Linked DNA regions of Diceros bicornis minor. The protein of the gene in region 1 interacts with the protein of each later gene in a biochemical or structural test. Links are inferred from orthologs where the notes say so. Each region holds a gene or a part of one and is shown in the gene's direction. Other genes may lie near its edges.

What was found. The genes of interacting proteins can lie anywhere in the genome.
Region 2: the proteins of ERBB3 (region 1) and BCAR3 form a complex in vitro, tested with the Homo sapiens proteins (2 studies listed by BioGRID and IntAct, with this or other methods). The link is inferred for Diceros bicornis minor from reciprocal best matches to the Homo sapiens genes ERBB3 and BCAR3.

The regions. Positions count from the first base shown.
Region 1 is NC_080756.1:12,678,289-12,688,222, reverse strand, and holds the start of ERBB3 (receptor tyrosine-protein kinase erbB-3), read left to right. Parts: upstream 1-3,794; 5' UTR 3,795-4,017; coding exon 4,018-4,099; intron 4,100-4,346; exon of another isoform or gene 4,347-4,427; intron 4,428-7,543; coding exon 7,544-7,695; intron 7,696-8,253; coding exon 8,254-8,440; intron 8,441-9,147; coding exon 9,148-9,273; intron 9,274-9,921; coding exon 9,922-9,934. UniProt on the Homo sapiens protein: Tyrosine-protein kinase that plays an essential role as cell surface receptor for neuregulins.
Region 2 is NC_080743.1:29,778,286-29,788,219, reverse strand, and holds the start of BCAR3 (breast cancer anti-estrogen resistance protein 3), read left to right. Parts: upstream 1-3,641; 5' UTR 3,642-3,822; intron 3,823-9,934. UniProt on the Homo sapiens protein: Acts as an adapter protein downstream of several growth factor receptors to promote cell proliferation, migration, and redistribution of actin fibers.

The DNA.
Region 1 (9,934 bases):
ATATCAAGATCACAAACCATAAGAAGTAAAATCAATTAATTAGATTATACCAAAATTAAGGATTTCTGTTCAATAAATAATATTATTTACAGAGTTAATGATGAAAATTGGGAAGAGATATTTGCAATGTCTAAAGTCAATGAAGGTCTAATATCTGAAATATACAATAAACTGCTGCAAACCAATATAATAAATATGAGAATCCCTATTAAAAAATTGGCAAAGGAAAATGAATAGGCAATTCATAAAAGAGAAAAACCAAAAGTAAGAAAAAGTTTGAGAAGATGCTCAAATATTAAGAATTAAAGAGGGCCGCACGTGGCTTAGCGGTTAAGTGCACGCGCTCCGCTACTGGCGGGCCCGGGTTCAGATCCCCGGCACGCACTGACGCACAGCTTCTCTGGCCATGCTGAGGCTGGATCCCACATACAGCAACTAGAAGAATATGCAACTATGACATACAACTATCTACTGGGGCTTTGGGGAAAAAAATAAAAGGAGGAGGATTGGCAATAGATGTTAGCTCAGAGCTGGTCTTCCTCAGCAAAAAAAAAAGAGGAGGATTAGCATGGATGTTAGCTCAGGGCTGATCTTCCTCACAAAAAAAAAAAAAGAAAAAAAAATTTCGTTAAAAAAAGAATTAAAGAAATACAATGAGATATCATTTTGAATTCATGGCAAATTGAAAAATTGGACACTTGAATAATGTCAAGTATTGACAAGGAAGTGTGGATATAGAAATCCCACTATTGATGATGTGATAGTCCAGAGAGTGTGGAGCTCAATATGCACGAGAAATGATCACAGAACCAAAGGAGACAGGTAGGAGGATATTCTGCAGCATAGCTCGCGATGGCAGGAAGCTGGAGGCAGTCATTGGATAGTGAACAAATAAAGTATAGGGATCTGGCAGTAGTTAGGAGCAAAGGACTAGAAGGCCATGGGGTCAAAGAAGGTTAATTTGTTTTGTTTTATTTTTTTAAGGTGGCAGATAGGACAGCACGTTTGTATGCGAACAGGAATGATCTAGTAGAGAGGAAAATTGATAATAGAGGAGAAAACGGATAATGCAGGAGAAAGGCAAGAAGGAATGGACTGAGGTGTAGCACTGAGGATGGGGGTGGGGGTGAGGGTTGGGGGAGTGACAGTTGGCTTAAAGAGCAGCAAGGACCGTTCATTGTAACAAGACGGAAGTCAAAGTATAGAAGTGAGGATGGAGGTAAATTGGCCAGATTGGTGGTAGAAAGATAAGGATGTTTTCTTTTGATTACTTTTATTTTCACAGTAGAATAAGAACCCAAGTTATCAGCTAAGAGTAAGGAAAGATAAAGGGATGGTGGATAACTGCAGAGAGCTTTGGTAAATAAAGCCTCTCTCCCTTCCTTTATTCAATCAGGGCAGCACCCAACAGAGACGGCCCCTTACTTGTCGGCTTTATCCAGTGTTTATAACCCTGATGCTTAGCATGATGTATTGAAGAATGGATACCAGCAAGCACACCCTGGGATCTAGTTGGGGAGGGGAGGGGTGGAGTTGGTGATCACAGGAAGAAATACTGCTAGTATTCATGGAATGCTTCTTAAAGGTCAAGCACAATGAGGTAAAGAAGAGCTCTACCTGCTTTTTCTTATGAAATCCAAACAACAAACTTATAAGTAAACACAACTGTTCTACAAACAAGGAAACTAAGGAGGGTTTCCTCCTTCAGAACCAGGGCCTTGAACACTAGTGTGAGGTGGATGAGTAATCAAATGAAAGGCCCCTGAAGTGGTGTTAGCTCAGTTATCTGGTGGGAGTTTGATTCTGAGCAGATGAAGCTCCAGTCTCAGTGGGACATAAGAAATCCTAGGTAGGGGCCGGCGCCGTGGCTCAGCGTTTAAGTGCACGCGCTCCGCTGCTGGCGGCCAGGGTTCGGATCCTCGGCGTGCACGAGGTGCCGCTTCTCCCGCTGTGCTGAGGCCGCGTCCCACATACAGCAACTAGAAGGGTGTGCAGCTATGACATACAGCTATCTACTGGGGCTTTGGGGGAATAAATAAATAAATAAATTTATTTAAAAAAAAAAGAAATCCTAGGCAAAGGGGCCGGCCTGGTGGCGCAAGCGGTTAAGTGCCCCCGCTCCGCTGCCTTGGCTGGGGGTTCGCCAGCTCCGATCCCGGGCGCGCACTGTCGCACTGCTTGTCGAGCCATGCGTCCCATATAAAGTAGAGGAAGATGGACATGGATGTTAGCTCAGGGCCAGTCTTCCTCAGCTAAAAGAGGATTGGCATGGATGTTAGCTCAGGGCTGATCTTCCTCACACACACAAAAAAGAAAACCTAGGTAAAAACCTGCACCCCTTCTCCTGATCATCCACTGTCACCAAGAGGATGACCTTGGCGAAGTCATGCATTTCCAGTTCTGTAAAATGGAGAGTGATGTCACCTAGCTCACATAGTTTTTGTAAGTGAAACATTCTCTAAGTTTGAGGCAACGCTTGCAAGTGAGGTGGTATATGTATGTATATGTTAATGTTTCCTGGTTGCTATTACTATTTCAACTGTTATGCAAGTGGTCAAGGCAAGGCCAACGCCCCAGGGGCAAAGGTAGCCTCCAGCAGAGAATGGGCTTCTAGAGTGCATATCAGTACGGAGAAAGTTTAAAGAATTTTAGCCCGCAGTCTTGGTTCGGAGTGAGAGGCGAAATTTTTCTTCATCGAGGCTTAACTGTTATTGAAGTTTTCAGGCTTGAAACTCTGGGGAAAATAATTAGGCTCTCTGGGCGAGATCCAGAATGCCAATTTAAGAGATTAGAAATGCAACGCCGTGAGGGGCCTCACTGCCGCCCGTTGGGCACCAGAGGGCGCCCGTCGGATCCGTTCGGAGGCCGGCAGGGTTTGGGGCAGCCACTCGCCGTGCACCCGACCACCTCGGGCCAGGATCCAGGAGCTGGTGCTGAGGTGTCAGGGGTCCACGTCATTAGTGGACGCAGTCTCTAGTGCCCCTTCCCCCTTTCCAGCGCGAGCCGAGGCTCGGAAGGCGCCTGGGAAGGTGTGAGCGCCTGTGGTGGGGACGGTGTGCCCATCTGGGTCCGCAGAACAGCGGCGGGAACTCCAGCCGCCCCGACGGCGCGGTCAGACTCCAGCGTGGAAGGGGAGGCAGCTGTTCTCCCAGGCGGCCGTGGGGGGCAGCAGAGGGGACGGCGACAGGTGCGGGAGCCCCTCCCGGGGTGGAAGTGGAAAGGCGGGCTTCGGGGTCTGTTCCCAGGCTGGAAACCACCCCCGCCCCCCAACCAAATCCCCGGGAGAGGCCGGGCCGGCGCCGGTCTGGAGGAGGAAGCGGCCGGAGACAGTGCAATTTCACGCGGCCTCTGGGGCTCAGGTTCCTCGGCAGGGTGGATGAGTTATGGGGTTTCGAGGGGTTTCCGGGGAAACTGAGGTGGCCTGAGCGTGAGGCAAAAATACCCTCCCCCTCAAAAACACACACAGAGAAAAACATCCACATTCGAAGACAAAATCCCCCAAGTGACCCAACCGGCTAGGGGAGTTGAGTGATTTGGTTAATGGGCGAGGCCAACTTTCCGAGGGCTGGGCTTTCGCGCGCTCTCCCCACCCCCATTACCTTTCTCCTTCGGAGGCATTTGGGGCGTTTGGAATCTTTACGTTCCCTTAGTCCAGCTCCTGAAGAAAATTAGGGGGAGACCCATCCTGGATCTGCTGGGCCAAGTCGCGGGGCAGTGGGGCGTGGGGCGCGCGGGGCGGGCCGTCGGAGGCGGCGGCAATCCCTATCCAGCCTCGCGCCGGAGGGGGCGCGGCCGTGACTCACCCCCTCCCCCTGCCTCCCTCCTCCGCGCTCGCAGACACACACCCTCCCCTGCCATCCCGCCCCGGACTCTGGCTCCGGCTCCGGTTGCAGTGTGTAACCTCCTCTGCCGCCGCTACCAATTCGCTGGCGGCTCAGGTGGCTCCGCTTCGATGTCCTAGTCCAGGGGCCCCCCGGGCCGGATTCGGCTGGGCTCCCCTCACCCTCCGCTAGCGTTATGAGGGCGAACCGGGCTCTGCAGGTGCTGGGCTTCCTTCTCAGCCTGGCCCGGGGCTCCGAGGTGGGCAACTCGCAGGCAGGTAAGCGGCGCGGGAGCACGGGCAGCTCGGACCCTGGGGTCCGAACCGAGGACGCGGAGCCCTGGAGGGCAGGGGCTCCCGCAGTGTGACGCTCGGGGTGCTGACCCTGGGTCCGCTGGGACCACCTGGGCGGGCACTGCGACGCTGGGGTTCTCGGCGTGGTCCGGGCGGGGACGGCATTCCTGGACCACCACCACCTCCTCCTCCCCAGCGCGTCGCTGACCCTCGAATTTGTCTCTCCGGATAGGGCTGGTGCCCAAACAGTTCACACTTATGAGGGGCCCTGCCGGGAGGGGAGCTGGGACCTCCATTCTGCAAACTTGAGGAGGTGATTGGAGGTGGAGAGCTTGGCTGAACGGGGGGGGGGGTGTCTCAGTTTGCTCCCCAATGCCCTGCTCCCCCTGGTTTCAGCACCCGCCAGTTTCGTTGTTTTGCCGACAGGGCGGAGCTATGGAAGGGTTGGAGGGGGTTGTTGTTCTCTGGTGCTGGAAAAACAAGAACGGCACCTCCTCTTCCGTGAGTGGGCCTGCCCTGGGGAGGGCTGAAATTAACCAGAGGGCCACGTCCAGGTAACATCAGGGTGAGAGGCCACGCAGAGACTGACTGCCCTCTTTCCCTCAAAATAATAAAGCTAGTTGGTCCCCGACTTGACCAACCTCTCTTTGTCAAGATCCAGATCAATTCAACGAGTATTTATTGAGCATCTACTATGTACAAGACCCTGGGCCGGGAACTGTAGAGTAAAGGACTTCCAGCCTTCTCTCTGTCTTTTCTCTCCCCAACCCGAGGATCAACAGGGCATCTCTCCCACCTTCTGAGCCTCCTGTCCTGGGGAGTCCTTCCTAGACCCAGCTTCTCACCCACCCCCATTCTGTTTATTGTTTGACTGTCTCTAGGACTCTGGACTAAAGTCAGATTGCTCTTCTATTCCTCCTCCCACTCCCATGCCATATGAGCCCCCTCCCCCTTTGGGGCATCTCTGGGACAATGGACACCTGAGGGGTGCTGGTATTGCTGGCATTGGAGGAATCCTGTTGATCTTTTCCCTTCCCCCCAAGATCTCAGCTTGGGGTTTGTCACAGCCAGGGCCCCTTCCCCAGGGTGGGAGTGGGAGAAACACCTGTGCTTCCCCCACAGTTGCTGGGCCTAAATTTAGACCCTGGGATCTTGAGATGTGAACACTCCCAGCTGGTGGAGGGCGGGGGTCTGGGGACTGGAGTGGGAGGGACCGAGTAGAGTGACTGTATCACTGTCCCATCCAGACCCCTGGAATCTTCAACCAGGAACCCAGGAGTCCCAGATCCTGGCCACCTTCCCATAGGGCGCCAGGAGGCAGGCATGGTTGGGTCTCTTTACCCTTTATCTGGATCCTGCAGCCTCTGGGCATCCGGCCCTGTCTCGGTCCTTCTATAGCCCCTTTGTCCTGGCTGTGATGGGGGTGGGGGATGTTGGAGAGGAGGCCTCTGGTTGAGGAGGGGCTGGAGATTCTTGCTCTGACCCACCCCAGTGCTCTCTACCAAATGAGGGCCTGTGACACTGCCCCTCCCTATGCCCCTGGTCCCTGAGTACAGCAGGGATTTTTATAACTCCCTTCCCCCTGCCTTCCTCCCCAAGCTGCTGGGTTCCTCCTCAGAGGTGTTGTTCTTACTCCCTTCCCGCCCAGGCCCTTTGCTCCCTGTTTGTGTAATACGGACTTTACCCTCAGGGTGGCAGGGAACTGGGACCTCTAACACTGTAGCCTTCCAAGCACAGACACCAAGTCTGCCCAAACATATATGGGCAGGTGAGATGGATAGGGTCACCTGAAATACTTCCCATTAAGGAAACCCAAGGACAGAACCAGTCTAGATTTCTGGGCCAGCAAGGGAGCTATGTACATGTTCCTCTGTATGTGTGTGTGTGTCTTGAGTGCGTGCATGTACACATACACACACACCACTTCCTTCTGCAGAAATCTTGGCTCCTCCCTTATCTAGGGAGAAGAGTTGGCGCCTTGACTTGGAAGAGGGGGTGTCCTGCCAGGAAGGGGGTTGGGGTGGGGCTGTTCCAGAAATGACTAACCTTCCTAGCCTCTTTCTTTTCAGCCAAAGGACCCTGGAGTTCCTAGGCTCCTCTGGTTGCTTTACCCCTTTACCCCTCTGCTGGGTCTAGCCCACCCCTTTCCCTTTGTGGGGGAGTGATGGCGAATGAGAGCCCTCAAAAGTCAAGTGGTCAGACTAGGGGTGTATCTAGGAGACATTGGGGCCTCACCAATCTCCCTCCATTTCCACTCCTGCCTCCCACTGAGCTCCACCGCCTCAGGGAAGGGTGGTTGGAACAGGTGGTATCTCCCCCCCAACCCATAGTCTTTCACTGAGCCAGAGGAAAGAGACAGGGATAGGAGTTCAGGGTCCAAGATTTCCCATAGCCCCTATGTTCTCCATACTTACAAGGTAAAGTGAACCCCCAAGACTGACACCCCTCATGAACCTCAAGTCTAGGCACTCCCCCGACGTGAGTGGGGGTTGCCATGTTGGAGGGCTTTTTAATGAATCTCTTCTGACAATGAAATTGAGTGGAAGGCTCAGAATGGGGGGAGTCTGCTGCTGTTTCCCTCCAGGCTTCTTTGTATTTGCTGAAAAATACTCTTGGGCTGGAAAGTGTGATGCTGAGGGAGCTGGAGTGTGTTGGGATAGGGGAAGGGAGTGAGAAGGGAAGCCAGGGTTTAGGAAGGGGGGACAGGGTAGGCAACCAGCTCTTTATCTTCTAGCTTTGAAGACAAAGCTCACATTGACCCCACCACCACCACCACCAGAGCTCCCCCCTCTGGTGAGGTCACTTGTCTGAGCCCAAGGCTTAAGCGTAGAGGGGGGGTACTGCTGAGGACAGGGTGTCTGGGGACAGGGTGGGGCAGACCCCTCCTCCTAGATAGAATCGCCTCATTGTGGGCTGGACTGTGGCCCCAGGCAGTGCCCCCACCCTCTGCCCCCATCCCACCCTCAGTAGACACAATAGGGGCTGTGTGCTAGCCCCAAAGAGATATTTATTCCCAGATCCAGAGAGGCAGGATGGGAGTAGAGAAGTAAGTGCCCTGGTTGGAGTAGGGGAGGGGAAGAGGGGGGGAACCAAGTCCTGGTCGTTTTCTAAAACTTCTTTTTAGGGAGGGGGAAAAAACCTACATCCTCCTAGATTAACCTCTTAGTACCTGAAAGAGACACAGAGGAGGTCCTGGTGGAAAAAGGAAACCTTTCACCTTCCTGTTCAGAGGAATGGTGAGGGGATTCTGAGAGAAGAGGAAGTTCAGGCTCTCAGTCCAACATGGGCCTTTGTGTCTCTCTGTAGGGGTGAGGGTTGGAGGCAGCTGCCTTCTGAGGCTGTTGAATGTTACTGGAAGAGGGTGGCCAAAGGGGTGGCCTTGGAAACTTGTGTGCAGCCCTCTGCCCCTCTTACCTCTACTTTGAACAGTGTGTCCTGGGACTCTGAATGGGCTGAGTGTGACTGGCGATGCTGAGAACCAATACCAGACGCTGCACAAGCTCTACGAGCGGTGTGAGGTGGTGATGGGGAACCTGGAGATTGTGCTCACAGGACACAATGCTGACCTCTCCTTTCTGCAGGTTAGAGTGCCCAGCCCCCTTCCTCAACCTGTTCCCCCTTGTCAACCCTCCAGAAGCCTCCTTCCCTTCCTTGGGGCTACCCTCTGCTGGAGTTCAGCGTTCCTAAGACTCCATAGTTGCTAAGATCCAAACCTGTGTGTTTATGGGACAATGACTGGAATCTGGGACTATGGTCTGGTCGCTGTTCCAGGGATGGAGAGGGGCTGGTCATGAGAAGGGGGCAGGGGCAGGTGGTGTTCCACACCAGGCACTAATGTAGAGACACATCTGAGGACTGAGAGGCACCTGGGGAGATGAGGAAGGGTCTATGCAAGGGCCCTCTGGCATGAGGAGCTCTGAGCAGGAAAGGGTAGGAGGCTAGAATTCCTCCATCATTTCTGCTCCCTGTCTTTACTTGCAGAAGGGACACAGTAGTGTGACACTGTCTACACTCTACTCCAAAATAGGAATTAGAAAGAATTAGAGGAGTTAGGGATTCCTTAACGCCTTAGGGAGGGAGAGGGATTGAGACTTTTTGCCCTGCTGTTCCTTTCACTGACACGGTCTCCTCTATCACAGTGGATCCGAGAAGTGACCGGCTATGTCCTCGTGGCCATGAATGAGTTCTCCACACTGCCACTGCCCAACCTCCGGGTGGTGCGGGGGACTCAGGTCTACGATGGGAAGTTTGCTATCTTTGTCATGTTGAACTACAACACCAATTCCAGCCATGCGCTGCGCCAGCTCCGCTTCACTCAGCTCACTGGTCAGTTCCTGATGGTTCCCTTTGGCCTTGCCCCTCAGCCAGCCTGCTGGCAGGCACCTCCTTGATGATGACCCAAGACTGCTCACTCTAAGTGCCCCTTGCAAGGTGCCCACCACTTTGACCACTGTGGTCTAAAGGTCCACTGCTCCTGAAATAATAGAGGGCCCCAGGAGGGAGCTGGGGTGTCTGCCCCAGGGGGAGGGTCCTTATGTGCTGGTGGGGCTGGAGTTGGAGCTAGATCTGTCACCCATTCCTCTAACTTCAGAATACAGTGTCCCTTGATGTCCCTCCTCCCTGGGAATGGGAATCCTACCTCCTCCTCCCTCACAGTTCTCCACAAGCTGAAGGAATATAGGGGTTAAATACCACCTGGCCACCTTCTATTTCTACCTGTCCCAGTCAGTTGGAAAACACACACGTAGGGTGGGAGGGTGAGTCAGGGATCTTCTCTCCTTCTTTCCCTTCCCCTCCCCCACTGGCTAAACCGGATCTGGACAGGTGTCTGAGGAGGCAGGAGTTTCTTTTGGCTTGGCTCCTCCTCCATCTCATGAGGCGAGCTTTCTCTGCAGTTTGGATTTAAGTGGACCTACCTGTCGGCCCGTTTCCCTTGCTCCTGAGTCTCGGGTGTCCGTTTGGACTGGTGGGGAGGTAAGGAAGAGGAGGTCTGCTGTAGCCCTTAACCCTGTCACTTTTCTTCTCTACCTCAGAGATTCTGTCAGGGGGTGTTTATATTGAGAAGAACGATAAACTTTGTCACATGGACACAATCGACTGGAGGGACATCGTGAGGGACCGGGATGCCGAGATAGTGGTGAAGGACAATGGCAGGAGCTGTGAGTGGCCATGATCCAGACTGTTCCCCTTGCCCCCACCCAACCAGAGTGACTTCTTTCCCATCATCATTGTTTTCCTAATCCAAACCACCTCTCCACTGAACAAACACCTCAGGCCCTAGATCCAAGGAGCCTGCCGGGAAGGAGCAGGTCAGTCCCCTAGAATCTAAACCGCAGAAGCGGTGTGTCAAGAAAAGCAGCAAAAGATCTCTGTGTGCTAAGTGGGGAAGCCAAATCTTTGGACTCCACATCCATCTCTCTTTCCACGACAACATAGTCCTTTCTCCTTGGAACCTACCTACCCCTGACTGCAGTGTGCTGCTCCCTGTGCACTCACGTGCACACACTCCTCCTGTGCTCAGTTTGCCAAGGAGGAGCCAAGTTCCTGGGTTGGGACTGGGGCTGAGCTTGGCGTTTGCCCAGGCCCTCCCCTTCAGCTGCCCTGTGGGTGGTGTGGAGGCGTGGCTCCACCCCTTGTTGACAGGTTCACTTGAGCCCAGCCCTGCCCTGCAAGGGTGAGGAGGGACACTGCCCTGGCTCTTCGCTGCTCCGGACCAGGGTGCCTGTGTGCTGACATCGTGCTGTGTTGATTCCAGCAAGCCTTTCTTAGCCCTGACAGTCTCCTGTGTTGCTTTCCTTCCCAACTAGGTCCCCCCTGTCA
Region 2 (9,934 bases), on another chromosome or scaffold:
AGATCTCTCCAAATTAGTGACTTTGGGGTTTTAGTTCTCCCTGCTCAAAAGTACTCTTCCAGGGGCAAAGAAGAGGTGGCAAACACCTGGCCCAGCAGGGGGAAGGCTTCTCCAGCCCAGCTACGCCAGCACAGCATAGCTATGCTTGCCTGGCTTCCCGGACTGGCCCCTCCAGCAGGTGCAAAGACAGAAACAGGGGCACGGGTGCGGGGAAGGAGGCTACACCTTAGCCAGACTCGCTTGGTTCTCATCATTCACCCTTTCACCCCTGTCCCACCAGGAATGGATTTATACTGTTTTAAAAATACTGGGGCACCTGGACTCTTACTTCGTTCCCTCGTGAATTTGGTCAAGCTGGCCGAACCTTTTTTGTCTAGTGAAAAAGAGTCTCAAGATATGAATGTTTCCCAAAACAGCTTTGCAGGGAGAAAGCAAAGAAAACGCAGCATTGAACAGATCTATTCATTTTGACTTGATTACGGAAAGATAACATGTTTTTTCTTGTTTTAAAAAATATATATTTGAGAAAGAGATGTAAAAGAATTACATGATGTTCCATCGAGGAAATAGATTGCACCAAGATAATGGTATAGGAACAAAACTCCTGTCCTTACAGAGAAGGGTTGCATTGATCAGATAAAGAGTTTTTCCCACCAATCTAAAATCTATAAATGATAAAGAGAATTTTTTAAAAACACAACAGCTTTTCCATCTAAACTGCCTTCTTCTTTATCTCTCCATCTCTAGTCCAGAGATAGTCCCCTCCCTCCTTCTTGCTGTTCTAGGGGAGAATTGAGAGCACGGCTGCCTGTTGAGCACTCACCGCTGTCAATCCTAATCTAACGCTAGTAGCTGACGACATCCTTATACAGTGTCGCCTACACTGAGAGAGAGGGCTCTGTGTTCTGGGAGCCACTGGAAACACCTGCACAGATCACAGCCCCGCTCCACTGAAGCATAAGGGACCCATTTTAAGACAAAGTGTGTGTCAGAATGTCAGTGCTTGCTGAAAACCACTTCCCAGGTAGGCAGATTCATTGGCGTCTCTTTCCCTTGAGTGTGCTTTGAACAGACCGCAGACTGGGAGGATCGGAAAGAAGGGGGAGAAAGGCGGCTGTAAATCAGTGTAGCCTCTCCCACTCTTGGGGTCAGAAACCAGGTCCTACGGAAAGGACGAGGGAGACACCCCCACCTCCAAGAAGCCCTGGTGTTAAAACATGTGCCCTAGCAGTTAGGGGCGCTCCACTCAAGAGGCCTGTGGACACCCCCTTCCTTTCTTCTTTGCAGCTTTGAACCAGATGCTCCCTTGGAAGGGAAAAAGCTCTGACTTCATCTGGGCTCCTGGGCCCTCCCTTCTCTAAACACAGTGAGGATTTTTTTCAGGATACTGTGGCACTTCTCCTAGTGATTCTTTTCATTGCTTCTTCAAATGTGCAATCAATTCTCCTGATACAAAATCTGTGACCCCTGTTTTTACAAGTCCAAAGCTTAGAAGCTGATCCCCCACAAGCATCAACAGAAAGCATCTGAGTGTTCTAATCACTGTCGGCTGTTTTGCTGAAAAACATAACAGCCTGCCAACCTCCTCCTGCCTGTGCACTGGGCACAGCCCTGGGAGGGGCCCAGGCAGCCCAGGACCTCATGGTTCTTTGGAAAGAAAGAAGCAATTCCAGCCAGTTCAGGTGTTTGGGAGATTATTGCAATGATCTTTTCCATGTGGATGTCAATGAGGTTTGTCGATAGGGTCAGTAACACGAGGGACTTTATGATGGTAAGATTTGAAAAGATTGAAGGGGGAACTGAAACCAGTTTCTGTCAGTCAAAAGTTTCATTCAGCCAGCACAATTTCAGAATTTGCAACTATAATTTTGTTTTTCTTTCAAAGCTCTTCACATCTTCTGAGAGTAACAGAATGCTGGGGAGAGAATTTATAAGCTAAAAATATGGAGATGAACAAGGTCATGACAACTCGCAAAGGACCCACTTTTGCTTGGATTTGGGAAAGGGGTTCATGAGACTGAGTGTTAATGAGAAAAGCAGGCAAAGTCAGACGAGGCACCTTGGAAGTGAGGTTAAGACAGTTTTGGATTTCATCCTACCACCTGTTCTTTGATACACAGAGGGTTCAATTTAACATTAGTCCCATCCATCAGAGCCCACATGCAGCGTGTTTGGGATTTCAATTGTTTTCTAAGACCCGGGAGCAGAGTAAGAAGTAGCTTGTTGACAGAGAAGTCTGCTCATTCCTGAAGGTCAGGGTTCAGAGGTAGTTCTTGACTTATTCTTTTCTCCATTCAAGTTCTACACAAGTGAGCAGTAGAAGGAGATGCTTATCTCCTTCCTTTATTTTAGCAGCCACTGCAGTTCTGTTTCCTTCTTGAAACCTCTGACTCAATGGCTGGAGGAATGCTTCCCCACCCCACTCCTCCTGTCTATGCACGCAACTTTTGAGACACCCCCTTCACTCACCACCTTGCAAAGCACACTCAATTCATTGCTTGTACACAGTGCCATTTGCTTCTTTGTTTAGTTCACATATGTGGTCACCTGTTGCTTAAGGAAGATTTAAATCTGGCTGTGTTGGTATGGTTAGCTTTTGATTACCCCCAGAAGGAAAATAGTGTGTCATATCCATATAATCATGTAATATTATTATTTTTTCTTTTTGATGATAACATTTGGCTAATCATTAAAGCATATGGTGGTGATCACCTCGCAGCCTCAGCTCTGAATGATCTAGGCTTAGGGACAGTCAGACCATTATTATCATCATCATCATTTTAAAGCATGATTGTTTAATATGGATTATGCACATCTACTACATTTGAATAATTGTTATTGTTTTTATTACTGAATAATTTTTATTGTTTTCTTATTGTTTTTTATTACTAAAGTAACACAGAACACAGAAATTTTAGAAGACAGAAAAACACCCTTTTGGTGTATATACTTTTAGTGTATTTTTCAATGTATAAAGATTTATTTTCTTTTTTTCAACAATAATAGTACACTGTCGTTTGTTTTAGAGTCCATTGTTTCACTTACTAATAGATCGTAAATGTATTTCCATATTACTATTCTTCTATGATAGGGATTTTAATAGGCTATGTACTATTCCATTATATAGAACCAATTCCCCATTATTGGCCATTTACCTATCAAACACTGATATAAGCTCTTACAATGTGCCAGGCTTGGCTCTGAGCTCTGTATAGATGTTAACTCATTTACCCTGATGAGAACTCTATGCAGTAAGTACTATTATTATTCCCATTTTGCAGATGAGGAACCTGAGGCAGGGAGAGGTTAAACAACTTGTCCAAGCCCACACCACTTTGTAAGTGGTGGAGCCAGATTCAAACTCAGACAATTTGGCTCTAAATCTGTGCTCCTAATCACAACACTGCCCGCCTCCCTCTGGCTTTGCTGAAAAGTAAAGACCTTCCTTTACCTGGGAGGAAGGCTTAATCTACATAAGACTGCTCTGGCAAAAAAGGGAACTGCTGCCCTGTGAGTCACTGTTACTTAGAATTAAATCGTCAGCTGTTGAGACAACAGGCGGAGAATCATTTGGGCAGGCTGGGCGATGTTAGCTCTGCAGCCCCGGGAGGGCAATGCCAGGAGAGGCCGCAGACCCAGGTCCAGCCAGCCTGAGGCCCAGGTTCCTCGCCCTCCGGCAGAACCACGGAAAGTGGCCCCAGCCTTGCCTGCACTATCCTAACTTCCTTACACCAAACTGAGAAGGCCTCTTTCCTTCGCAGGCGCCCCTAGGAGCTACCGCATCTGACCGAAGCCAGCCTCGGGAGGCAGGGGACAGGCAAGGTAGGAAGCAGTCTGGCCGGCTGCTGCTCTGGCCCAGAGCGTAGGGCAATGCTGAGCCAGCAGATGCTGTGGCCGGGGCTGGGGGTGGTGGTGATGAAGCCCATCGAGTGACTTGTGGGGCAGCACCTGGAGCTTAGGAGAATCCTCGGACTAACGCGCAGAGGCTCCAGGGCAGCTGTTTCCCGGGTGATTCTGGATCCTTATCCGTGGTGGCCTTGAGACGAGGGTTTGGACTTGGCCACATGTTTTCCTGTCCTCTCCCTTCCAGTAATGATAATACGATGCAACAGCTAACGATGATAATTGTTCTGTCTTATTTAATTCTAACTTAATTCTCACAACAGTGCTATGAGGTGGATCAATACTTAACAATAATTATCCTCGTTTTAGTGACGAAGAGCGCAGCCACAGAGAGATTGGATAACCTGACGTAGGGGAAAGGGTGTCAGGTGTGGAGAGCACTGCAGGGTTGTGACCTTGACTTGAACCTGTGTCCCAAAACCGGACACCACACTCTGGGCCTCAGAAGGTAGCTGTGGCTGGAAGAGGAACCATCCCTTCTGGGAAGAGAAGGTCTGAAGGAACAATAGCAGTTTGATGAGGGAGAGCATTAAGGGCTCGAGGCAGTTAGAAGTTGCATTTTATATAAGCACCTTAGGCAAGCGTTTGCAGGAGTCTGGAGAAGATTTATGTGAAATAACATTCATGCCTTTTTCCCTGGAGGGGTCTGTCAGTTTGCCTCTGAGAACCCGAACACCACATCCAACGTCAATGTCACGGGCTAAATTGGTCTGGGGAGCCATGGTTGTCACTGCAGTCCTGAAACCTGCCCCTCTACATGCTCAAGGTCGATGCTTAAAGACTGCATCGCCCACGATGTTCTCTTCCACACGTAAAACCCACACCCTGGGGTCCCACTGGGGTCAAGACTCTGCCCCCTTCCCCTAGCTGTGGAAACAACCCTGGGTGGAACCGGAACCAACTTCCCAGTTTAGGGAGATCGTTGGCTTAATTTAATAACCATCTGAAGAATATAGAATAGATGCTGCAAGTGGAATTAGGTAAGACGGGCAGAAACCGGCTTTCCTATTGCTAAGTGATTGTTGGGGTGTGTCTATAGAGTTTCGGAGATTTTTTAGAAAAGAAAAGATGCATTGTTTTATCTGCCAAAATCCTTGAAGATAAACCATCAAAAGTACAAGTGTAATGTCTGATAGGCTGTACAAAATAAGAACAAAGAGTTGCTGCTATCCTAGTCGGAGCCACAGTGATGTTGTTCCCTGGATTAGTGAGGCAGCCCCTCACTTGACCTTCTACAATCTATTCTCCCACTATGAGCAGATCGATCACTTACAAGTGCCATAGATCAGGTCACTCTCCTGCCTAAAAAATTGCAGTGACTTCCTATCACACCCAGGTAGGGTCCCCGCTCCTCGCAGGGCGTCCACAACACAGCCCCTGTCTCCTTGCAGAGGCAGTGCAGCACAGCGGCTAAGCACTCCATGCTCATACCGCCCAGTTGAAATCCCGGCTCTGTCCCCTCACTAGCTGTGTGACTTCGGCTAAGCGTGTCTACTTCTCTGTGTCTAAGTGTTCTCATTTGTAAAAGGAGCACAGTAGTACCAACCTTGTAGATACCTGGCACATAGTAAGCACTCAACCGCCGCCAGCTGTTTTTATTACTACTTTTGACCTCATCGTTCTCCACTCTCCACACTCCCCAGCTCATTACGCTCCAGTCACACCAACCTTCTTTCTGTTCCTCAAATTTGCCAAACTCATGCCTACATTTGGACATTTGCTCTAGAGTGCCTGAGACTCTGTCCACTCCCTCCCCACCCAAGTCCATGAGCTGTTGGTTTCTTCTCTTTTGGGGGTTTCCACTCAAGGCACCTCCTCAGAGAGGCCTTCCCTGACCACCCAATCTAAATTAGCCCCAAGTCACTCTCATTGCTATTCTAGAAATTTCTGCAATGATGTAAGTATTCTATGTCTATTCTACTAGCCACTAGCCACATGTGCCTATTCAGCACTTGAAATGTGGCTAGTGTGAACTGAAGAACTAAATGTTTGATTTTATTTAATTTTAATTAATTTAGACTTAAATTTAAATAACCAAATGGGGTTAATGGCTACCATATTGGACAGTGCAGCTCTAGCCTCTTACCTGACGTTATGATCTTCAAAGCACTTGTTGCTCCGTGAACTTATCTTGCTGATTCATTGTCTGCTGTTTATGGTCTGTCTCCCCAACTAGAGAGTGAGCTCAATGGAAGTGAGGGTCTTATCTGCCTTGTTCACCACTGTGTCCTCTCAGTCAGGCCTAAGAAGTATCTGGATTTTTGTAAGGGCTCATGAAGGTTTGTTGAATGAATGAATGGGCATATAAAAGTACTTTGTAAACTATAATGCGTTATATAAATATAATATATATTATCATTATATGTGTACAGTCATGTGTTGCTTAACGATAGGGATACATTATGAGAAATGTGTTTTTAGGCCATTTTATCATTGTGCAAACATCCTAGAATGTACGTACACAAACCTAGGTGGTATAGCCTACTACTAGATACCTAGGCTGTATGGTACTGATCTTATGGGACCACCATTGTATATGCGGTCCAACATTGATCAAAATGTTGTTATGCGGTGTATGATTGTATATAATTGAAAAGCCTGCAGAGATGTTTCACTTTTTAAAACGCTCTAGCACACACACACACACACACAAAGCTGATCTTTAAAAGTGAATAACTTTATTTTTTTTTTATAATTTTATTTATTTATTTATTTTTCCCCCAAAGCCCCAGTAGATAGTTGTATGTCATAGTTGCACATCCTTCTAGTTGCTGTACGTGGGACGTGGCCTCAGCATGGCCGGAGAAGCGGTGCGTCGGTGCGCGCCCGGGATCCGAACCCGGGCCGCCAGCAGCGGAGCACGCACACTTAACCACTAAGCCACGGGGCCGGCCCCAAAAGTGAATAACTTTAAAAAGTAGTTTTCCTATTTTATGAATGTATTCTTCATTTCTCCAAATAACATCCCTCACCACACAGAGGTATATATAATCTACCTCCCCTCTGGCAACTAACGGAGGGCTTGACCCAAGCACAATTTCATTTCCTCGTGACTTCTAAGCAGCCGTCTTTGTGCTACGGCGGGGCACGCGTGCTCTTCCATCTGGCGCCGCCCTCCTCCGCCAGCCCCGCACCACAGACGGCAGAATCCCTTCGCTGGTCTCCAGGCCTGTTCACCTGCTTCCCGGAGACCACAGCTCTGAGCTCGACTGGGATCAGGTCTGAAGCGTGTGGTAGCCGCCACTCTGACTGTAACGAAAACATGAGTATTCCCCAGGGGGTTGCAGTATTCTTGAAATTAAAAACACGGAGGGGAGCAAGCCCTCTCCTTTCTGTGGGAGTAGCTAAAGCAGAAGTGCATTGAAATATGATGCCCGGGGCTCCTGGGAGGGCTGGGACCTGGTTCGTTCCATGCCACTGGCCAGCGTGCAGTGTCCAAAGAGGGCCGGGGCTGTTATGTGACCTCCAGTCTTAATGAAGTATTTTGGCTTCACATCTGCCCCTGAGGGAGCTCTGTGACTGGAGCAGCAGAGTCAAATCAGGGACAGGGCACATTGTTGTCCCCACCACGCGGGATCTAGGCCTGAGCCCAAGGACTCCGTGGATTTACTGCAGGACCTGGTGGCCATGTAGGCACTTCTGTTGCTCAAAGCCAGGTAGCTGGTCTGGGAACCAGGTCAGCTGCTGTGCAAAGCTGGCCACGGACCTCCCCTGAACCTGGGCCTGAGCTGATAAGTTGGGGGCACAGAGAGGAGACAGTTGGGCTGCGGTTGTTTTTAAGACTTCTGTCTGGCCCGTCTGCTTGGATTTCTTGTCAACATTCTCCCTCCCTACATGAATACCCCACACACACCCCTAGACACACCCACACTCACCCCTGCACCTAGACACACATTTTCTTCTCATAACATCAAACAGGACTCTTGGACGCTGTAAAGGAAGTATTAGCAGGGGTGCGGCTCCAGGAAGGGATCTGCTGGAGTGGTGTGGATACGTGTGGGGGTGGGATGTGTCAAGAGGACATGTGTTGGCCCCAAGACTTTCCACCATGAGAACATCCCTCCTGCAGTTCAGGTGGCATGGGTCAATACCTTTAGGAAGATTAGGTTTCCTTGGTGGATAAAGCAGTGTGTCCACCCCGCATCTCACCCCAAACACACGTTCATGCATGGCCTGGTTCTTCAGCAACGCTCACCCAGCCCTGCACTGGGCCAGGTCCCGCCCTGCTCCTGAGGGTGACTCAAGTGCTCTCAGAGGAGAAGGCAGCTGTTGGGCCGGTATCGGTTGGACCTGGTGGCTCAGGGTCACAGGAAGTGGCTCTTCTGCCTCGGGTACCCACTGCCTGACTGGTGAGTCACCAGGAGAATGTGGGGCCCCAGGGCAATCCTCCGTGTCCTGTGGGGCCTCTAGACACCAAAAGTACAGGCAAATTCATTTTCCGAAAAAGGCCCTGGGGCTGGGGCCAGAAAGCGGCGTGAGGAGGGCAAAAAAGCCACCATGTCAAACAGGCCCCCTGTGGTCCTGCCTGACCCACTCTCTACCACGTGCTGCTCGGTCTGCACCGGGTCTGTTTTTGTTCCAATGGCTTTATATTATTTCGCTTTTCGTAAATATTTGTTTTATCTTTTTCAAAATAATATGCCTTTGTGAAGAGATGTCCCATGCCAGGGATCTGTGCGGCTTTTCTCATTGCCCAGCGAGCTGACGTGTGGAGAGATGGTTGTCTGCCGGGATGGGCCCTGGAATTTCCATTCCACTGGAGGGAACTTGTGGCCATGGGGCGGCCCGTCACTCAGGGCTGTCCCTTCTCTCCTGAAGGCACATTTTGGGTCAGGTGAGGGGCCTGAGGCCCCTAAGGGAAGTTCAGTAAAGGAGACCAGTGACTGGAGAACACACCCCATGAGCTCATTTCAAGGAAAGTGAAGGATCTCATGAGGACAATGTGTTTATGGTTATTCGGCACCTGCATGAGCCAGGCCCTGGGCTCAAGGCTTCCCTGACGTTACTGCGTCTAATTCTCAAGGGCCAGTCCAAGAGGCGTGTACTCTTATTATCCCCATTTTACAGTGGGGAAACTGAAGACCAGAGAGAGACAAAGCAAGCTGCCTGAGGTCACACAGCCTCAGGTGGCAGAGTTGGTCCTAAAGCCCAGGTCTGGCTAACTCCGAAGACTGCGCTTTTACCCACCACCCTGTCTGGCTCCCACTGGACTCTGTCCACTTAGGGCTCCCCTCATCCCTGCCCCACACTGGGGGCTGAGGGGCACGGTAGACATCTGGCAGTCCCTGCCTCCGAATCTGTTTCCCTTCCCACAAGTCCTGGGAGTCAAACTCCCCTCCACTGATGTAATGTTTCTTCCTGTGGAATCTGCTGGAAGCTCACTCCCGACTGTGTCCGATTGTTCTCCACAGGAGAATCCTGGAGGGAAAGACTATCAAAATATTTGCCGGCCTTGCAGGGAGCGCGTCGAGTCGCTGCCGAACACTGCGGGATGTGTGAGGTGCCACCGTCCCTTGGCTTCTGTTTGTATCCGTCTGTGGAGGAGGGGAGAGGTGAAGGCTCTGACGGGCGCTATGTTTAGCCTTCCATGAGCCCATCGGGGGTGCTCAAGTACAGTGCAGGTGTCAGACAGATAAATAGATTTTTAAGAGTTGTCTGGTTTGGAGCGGTAGGTGGGATCTGAAATCTGAACTGAGTGAAGGGCAGTTAACACACTCCCGGAGTTTTGGGTTTGCCGAGCCCCTGGGCTGGTGGCAGGAGCCCTGGGTCCCCATCAGAAGACCCGACATCTTGCCTGGCTCTGTCCTGGGCTGGCTGGGCAGGTCCCCGGCCCTGGCCTTGTTTCCTCAGCCCTCGAATGGGGTGGAGCTGTGCGGAGGGCCGGTCTTTGTCAGGCAGGGCAGCATCCAGGAGACAGGCTGTGTGAGTTTGACTCCAAGTCCCCTTCCTAAGAGCTGGGAGACTCGGGGCAAGTTCCTTCATCTTCTGGGTCTCAGCTCGTCATTTTATTTGTGTGCGTGTGCAAGGATTA